Xenopus tropicalis: one gene and its partner. The protein of the gene in region 1 purifies or fractionates together with the protein of each later gene. This does not show direct contact. Links are inferred from orthologs where the notes say so. Each region holds a gene or a part of one and is shown in the gene's direction. Other genes may lie near its edges.

Region 1 (3,921 bases):
GTTAGACTATTAGGATACAGTACGTACAAGAGGCCTTACTGGGACAGACAATGCAGTGTAAAAGAAGTTGAAAGGGATTGTTTGAAATTAACTTTTAGTATGACATGGACATGCATGTTCTAAGACAATCTGCAATTGGTTTCCATATTTTATTCTTAATTTTTTTTTTTTAGTTATTTAGCTATTTGTTCAGAAGGTCTTCAGTTTGGAATTTCAGCAGCTATGTGGCTGCTGGGGTCTTGTTTACCTTGGCAACCAGTCAGTGGTTTGATGAGACACTGGAATATGTGATGGAGAGGTAATGAATAGAAAGGAATAAAAATAGGTTTTGGCTGCTGGGGTCAGTGACCCCCATTAGAAAGCTGTTGAAAGATACAGAAGAGAAATGCTAGGAGATGTAGAAGAGTTGCTAGGAAAAGGACATTCTATAACATACTAAAGGGTAACTTAAAGGTGAGCCACCCCTTTAAAACTGTGCAGAACTGTGCTTGGTACATAGGAATAGCTATGGTGGTTATTGATGGTCCTTACAGGACTTTAGGTGCAATGTGACTTTAGGACCGGCTGTTCAGGCATTTAATCTTGGAATAGACAAAACATTGAGATGGTACCTAAAGTCAAGGGGGCTTGTGTTTCAGAGGAGGTGGGGATAATATATACTGTGCCTTACTGATTGTCACTAATTCTTCTCCTCAGGCCTTTGGTCAGTCATTTCTTCAGCCAGACATACACATATTCAGGCAAAATCTCAGCTACCTGGAAACCCTCAACAGCAAACATAAACTGTACCATAAGGTAAGACCCATAATAACCTGATTGTTACACAAGATGTCAGTCTGTAAGCCTAGGTCTGTAAAATTGTACAGTATCATAACCAACGGATCTGGATCTTGGTCAAAATGTTAACAATGGTCCCAAACAGCCCCCACCAACCCAATAAATAGTAACTGTGTATGGCATCTTACAGCAGCCCCTCTGGCATTTGCCAGAACCCACAGATTGCCAGTCAGGGCCTAGTCAGAGTGATAGTGAGATGCTGGGTAATTAATTTTCATGAGCTTGTGAGCTTATGGTCTAGTCTACAGGATATATTCTTTCTCACAGTTTGCAACTCCACAAATCCCCTGTTCTCCTTTTGTGCTCTAATTCTCCATCCTTTCCTTAATTATTTTTTTAGAAACTGTTCCAGACTGTGATGCTGCCTCAGTTCGTCAGTGTTTTGCTGCAGGTTCTAATCCACAAGTCCCATGACCTCCTGCAGGAAGAGATTGGCATTGCCGTCTATAACATGGCATCGGTGGATTTTAGCACTTTCTTCTCTGCTTTCCTGCCAGAGTTTCTTACAGGCTGCCAAGGCCTGGACACCAGCCAAAAAGGCGTCCTCGCTCGCAACTTCAAAATGGAACGGGTGAGATGAACGTTTTATCATAGCATGCTTTATAGAGAGAGCTTTGAAATCCAAGCCTTAATAATGTACTCAAATCTTAGAATGTATTATGATGGCAGCTATGGCTTTGTATGGAGATTACTGAACCCTTTCTGCTACATTTAAGATGTAATAGCAGTGCCAAGCCCTTCAGAATCCCCTGGGCCGTCTTGGTGCACAAGCTGACTCTAGGGGAGACCCACCAGTCCTGATGCTATCCTAGAGGGCTTGCTAATTTTTACATTTCTCTCCAAATACAGCCATTTCCATACAAACAATATAGTAAATCTTCTGTTGAAAGGGAAGAGTTGTCTTCTGCTTTCTTTGAAGAGTTGAGTGTGCCCATCTAAAGTAGTAACCCAAGCTGCCCAGCCTTTTCAAGGCTTTTCTTTACATTGGCATCACCTCTAGCTTTTCTGTAGACCCAAGGACGGAGTATTTTCTTTCTAAAATATGTGAGGCAGCTTAGAGTTCTATGGTGCTTTCTTAGAACTTGACATGAGAAATCTGGAAATGAAGTTTGTCCTAGTGCAACTTGAATTGTCTTTTCCTTATGGGCAAGATCAGCCCACATCCCAAGCGGATGTTTGCAGATGGTAAGTACCTGCTTAACTAGAGAGAACTGTTTGTCTCCTTCAGACTAACTACTGGCTTAGGGATATTGGGAAGTTAGATTCACAAGGGATCAGGGGCCCTGGTCATTTTCTACTACCGTATATACTCGAGTATAAGCCGATCCGAATATAAGCAGAGGTACCTAATTTTACCTAAGAAAACTGGAAAAACTTAACTTGAGTATAAGCCTAGGGTGGGAAATGCAGCAGCTACTGCTAAGTTTCAATAATCAAGATAAATACCAGTAAAATTACATTAATTGAGGCATCAGTGGGGTATATGTTTTTAAATATTTATTTAAAAGAAAAACCGTAAACTAGCTCTGTAAGTGAAGAAGAGGGTCAACAAAAACAATGAGTACTATTCCACGCTCATTGCACATTGGCAAACTGGCAGCAGACCTGGTCCCGGAGGACATGTAAGGGGAAATAAGTATTGCGACTGGGAGTGGGCTAGGGCGCTGGAGGGTCTGGTTGCAGGGGGCCTAATTTGCACACAAAGGACAGAGGGTGCTGAAGGGAGTCTGGAGGGACCCATGGCACCCGACTCGAGTATAAGCAGAGGGTGACTTTTTCAGCACATTTTGGGTGCTGAAAAACTAGGCTTATACTCTAGTATATACAGTAATTTAATTAATTATTCCAAGTAGGGGTTGGTCAGCTCCATACAGAGCCATATGCTTTCTCTATAGATGTTTGTGCAAACAGGTCTTCTCTTTGTAAGGTGAACCTCCCCTTCCATTTCTCTCCTGACCCTTCTCTTCTCTCACCGTATGCAGGACCTGCCTTCGTTTACTCAGAGTGTCCACCGTTTAGTCAATGACCTCCGATACTACAGACTCTGCAACGACAGTCTCCCTCCTGGAACTGTAAAGCTGTGACCTCCCTCGCCCCTCGTTTTCCTGCCAATGGACAGACTTTATCCATCACGCTCTTCTCTCTCCACATTGATAGTCTTAACTCACCACTATACAGCTGTGAAACCCCCCCCTCACTCGCACCGATTTTATTGTAAGCGCGGGCAGTTTTAGTGCATCGTTGGACTTCAGTGCCTCTTTCTTGGCTCCCCCCGCTCTACCCCTAGGCTGCCAAATGGATCTCGTTCCTATGCCAGCTGAGGGTTAGGAAGGCTTCCATTTTTTGTTCTTTGAATATATATATATTTTTTAATTCATGCAAACGCTTCAACAAACCTTCAATATCATTCCCAGTTGTAGTGGAGAAGAAGGGTGGGGTCTGTATGTGACCCAAGTATGGACACTCGCGTGTCTTCGGCTTCTGGATTTTAACTGGCTGTACAGGCCAATTGCCACACACGGACGATATTATGTATTGTTTTATATTTTTTGTGTTTTTATCATTCCATTGTGAATCCGCGACATCTTTTCGCGAATAAAAAACCTTGCTTTGTTTAGAGCTGTGCTTGCCATATCATGCATCAGCCCCACCATGGGCAGTTAGTGGACCATCCAGATGTTGCCGAATATAAGCACTCCTCCAGGGCCTGCTAGATGTACATGCTTGTATTACTCGTTGTCCATCCTGACTTCATTGTGGGACTGGCTGGGAAATAATGGGGTGTTGCCAAATTGGCCCAGTTCTAATGCTCAGAGTGCACTGGATCTAGAGCAAGATATGTTTATAATTATGATGTTATTAAGTAAGAGGGGCACATAGACCAAATATAAAGGTAAACTTAAACCCAACATCATAATTATAAACATATCTTGCTGTAGATCCTGGAGAAGTTCCACTGCATCAGTGGTTAATGTCATGTGGGGCACTTGGCTGCCTCTGCCATCAGCCATCTACCTGCCACCAGGTGTTTTTTAACTTTTCCTGTGTTCCGCTGATGACTTTAATGGTGAAAATTACCCGTCT
Region 2 (3,821 bases), on another chromosome or scaffold:
AGCTTCTAATGGAAGTAATTGTTGGTAGATTTATTTGAAACATTCTTAGTAAAGGGTATCAGTGTGTTTTGAACAAAAATGAATCCGCAAATAATGTATATCCTAATATATGACATGGTTTTTACATATCAATAGATCTTACATTTATTTTGCAGGAATTCATAATACCTCCATAAACTAAAAGTTTAGCCATTATTTCAGGTTAGGTTGTACTCTATACCTCCATAAAATATAGCCGCAGTCTTCTTTAGAGCCCGTTATTAAGCGTGGGTGTAGAGGTGGATCTATATATAAAAAAATTTTGTTGAGGAAGGTAATTGCTCAGTAAATCACAATTTTGAAAACTGCTGAATCCCCGGCATGTGTTAGTGTTACGCATGTAATTAACTGCTGATTGTTAAGCGGTGACGTACGTACAAGGAAAAGAGACATTTTGACATTTTGCTTTGAAGGCTATATATTTAAACAAATGTGATGCTCTTTATCAGTGAGAACAGGCGCTGGTGACTCCTCGCTAATCAATTAGCTTTCATTTGAGTGCATTCTCTTTAGTTAGTTGTAAAGTTTTAGCTGCATTGAATAACTGACAGTAAAGGCTTTACTGTGTAATAAAGGGAACGTGCTATGATGAATTATTCTACACTTCTGCACCAGACACAATAGAAGTAGCAGGTAGCAGGAGTCCTTAAACCTAGTCTTTATATCAAATAGGTTTCCAACATTCAGGGCCTGTTTTGGCTAATGCCGATTGTTGCTGATATGAAGTGTTAAGGTTCTGTTGTGTCTGCTACCCATTTCTGGCACAATTTAACTGGCCACATCCCCTATTAAGTCATTGCACCTACTCTGCAGTTGGGCAATGTCCCCATCTCATTTCCCATAATGGGAATCTAAACACAATAGGAGCCCTGTGAGCTTGTGGCCAGTTGCTGCATAGCTAACGATACAAGCTAGAACAGTAACTTCTTTGGAGATGCTTGCGGGAATAAAGCAGACTGCAGTCATCTAAAGCTGGCCATACACGCACTGATAATTTTGTACAAAACCTCGTTTTGTACGGTATTCGGTGCGTGTATGGCAAGTTTGGGAGGCGACAGATATTGCAGAAGGCTACTGATATCGGTCGACTTGTCGATCGGGTGGGTTAAAAGATTTTGATCGGGGGCCATTGAAGGCGCCTGAGCAAAATCTGCCTTTTTAGGCTGAATCGACAGAAGGAGGTAGAAATCCTATTGTTTCTACCTCCAAATCTGACGATTCAGCCCTGAATGACCAATGGTTGCACGAAAGATCGAAAATCGCCAGCTTAACCGTTTCTGTCCCATTTAATCTTGCCATTCAGTGTGATGCCAGTAAGCATGAACCCAGAACAATAGATTCTATGTTACTGTTATGATGGCCCTTTTTTGCTGCCACTGTAGGTTCTGTGATATGTTGCATATGGAAGGGGAGTGTAATCCAGGATCGTGCACAGAAAATGAATAGATAATATAGAATGTGTGGAAAAGGACTGGTTGGTTTGTTTCGTTCTGGTTCTTGGTGTAATGCTGTGCCTTTTGTGGTAGGAGAGAACAGGGCATAACGATGGCTGCTTATAGAACCGTGTATAGTGCAATGTATCCTACTGGCCTGCAGCACTGGAAACTGTACAGGCCAGTGCAAACCCGCAGTGCTGTTCTTCACATAGAGATATGTTTCTAGTCTATATTAAATAATACCAATAAAAAAACTTGTAAATGGCAGTTCTTACTTTAATTTGAAAATGATCTTTATATCAGATCAAAGGAACTTGGGAATGTCAATGAGAGTAGAGCGGTCAACACTCGATCAAGTCAAGAAGAGATTTGAAGTTAATAAGAAGAAAATGGAAGAAAAGCAAAAGGACTACGACTTTGAAGAGCGAATGAAAGAGCTTCGGGAAGAGGTATGACTCTTTAGCCTGGAATTCCAGAAGCAGGTCTTAATTAGAAGCATCAGAGCGCAGATGCAATCAGTGACACTGAGAGTAAAGAAGCCCTTGTGCTGCTGGCCTAATCCTCTTACAGTATTCTGCAGGCAACAAAAATGGGTGCTCTTTACACACCCAGTGCTCTATGTAAAATGAAGATTGCATTTTCAACTATTTTCATGTTGGACTTTTCTAATTTTTAAAGGAGACATATTGCATCATACTCATTTTTTGGTAATATATTCCCCTTTCTCTAAAATGTATAGTGCTTCTATAAAAGAAGGTTTTAAAAACATTTTACCTGTTAAAAATGTAATTATACTAAAGCTGCAGAGAGATCCTTTCTCCTCTGCTGTCTAAGCTGAAATGAGGACTGGGCGTGTCCTCTCATGCTGCCTCAGGAAGTGATCATACTTCTGAGTGACAGTCAGAAAGTCCTGCCCCTGTATTAGTTTTGCTTCACTGACCGTTAGGACGGGCCTTTTTTTCAATGAGAATAACACGAAAGCATGAAAGTTGGATGGCACTCCAGCTGGTAAATAATAACTTTCTTTATAGGAAAGAGGTTTATTCATGGGGGCCTGCTGGAGGGCCCTTTATATCACAGCTGATGGCAATAAATTGTGCATAAAACTCCCTGCAAACTATTAACCTTTTTTTTTTACATAAATAAAGGAAGTTTGTCCTCCTGCCTGCATCCCCCTCAGCTGATTGTGTCCTCCTTTCCCTGACAGCCGTTTTGTCCTTCTCCCCCCCCCCAGAGTCTTTCTGTTTTGCTTCCCCCCGAGAGCCTCCTTCTCCTCCCCCCCCCCCCCCCCGAGAGCCACCCTGTCTGCTTCCCCTGAGAGCCGTTCGTAACTTTTGACAGCTGCCCCTGCGCTTCTTATAAGGGACGTTCGGCTCTGTGCTTCTTTATCTGAAAGGAGCACAGAGCCGAACGTTCCTTATAAGAAGCGCAGGGGCAGCTGTCAAAAGTTACGAACGGCTCTCAGGGGAAGCAGACAGGGTGGCTCTCACGGGGGAGAAGGGTGGAACGGCTCGCAGGGTGGAGGGGGGGGAAGGATGGAATGTCTCTCAGGGGGGAGCAGGGTACGGCACAGCGGTGGGCAGGTAGCTGGCAGGTGGCTGATTAACGGTGCAGATCTATGTGCAAGTACGTGGTGATTGCAAACGGCCAAACTGACGTCACTAGAAGCACCTCCCTCCCTTCACAGTCAAAGCCCTCAGTAATGAAGCTGTGAGAGCCGGCGGCTCTTTAGCAAACTATACAGAGTCTTAAACCGGAAGTCCAGGATAGGAGCATAACAAGAGCAGTTTTTGGCCAATTTCATGAAATTTCACTTGAAATGTACCCAAAAAAAGCCAATTCCTTCTATTTTACATTAAAAAACATCCATTAAAGCACTCTGAAAAATGATGGTATATGTCCCCTTTAAATATACTTCAATACATAATAAGACAAACTTCCCTTTTAAATGAGTACTTTCACTCAGGGCAGGTTTCAAGGCAGAGCAGGATGGACATTTATCTTGCCTATTGGTCACCCAAAATGAATGTAGATAGAAGTACAAAGGGGAAGTTTTATTGTTAAAGCTAACATTATTCAAAGTGTATTCACCCCTGCCATAGAAATGCATGTGGGCACCTATATGGATTGCTGGCTCTTTACAGGGGTGGTTCATCTTTAAGGTATCTCCTAGTAACTTTGCAATTGAGCGTCAATTATTTTTTTTTTCACATGGTTTTAATTATTTGCTTTTCTCTTCTGCCTCTTTTCAGCTTTCAAATGGCAGTCACTGACCCCATCAGCTTAAAAACTATTCCTCTGTGAGGCTACAGTTTTAGTGTTACTGTTTCTTACTTATCTTCCTAG

What was found.
Region 2: the proteins of xpo6 (region 1) and zmat2 purify together in Homo sapiens (co-immunoprecipitation; 3 studies listed by BioGRID and IntAct, with this or other methods). This does not show direct contact. The link is inferred for Xenopus tropicalis from reciprocal best matches to the Homo sapiens genes XPO6 and ZMAT2.

The regions. Positions count from the first base shown.
Region 1 is NC_030685.2:21,035,994-21,039,914, forward strand, and holds the end of xpo6 (exportin-6), read left to right. Parts: intron 1-696; coding exon 697-795; intron 796-1,177; coding exon 1,178-1,408; intron 1,409-2,819; coding exon 2,820-2,921; 3' UTR 2,922-3,456; downstream 3,457-3,921. UniProt on the Homo sapiens protein: Mediates the nuclear export of actin and profilin-actin complexes in somatic cells.
Region 2 is NC_030679.2:26,879,940-26,883,760, forward strand, and holds part of zmat2 (zinc finger matrin-type protein 2), read left to right. Parts: intron 1-1,778; coding exon 1,779-1,924; intron 1,925-3,821. UniProt on the Homo sapiens protein: Involved in pre-mRNA splicing as a component of the spliceosome.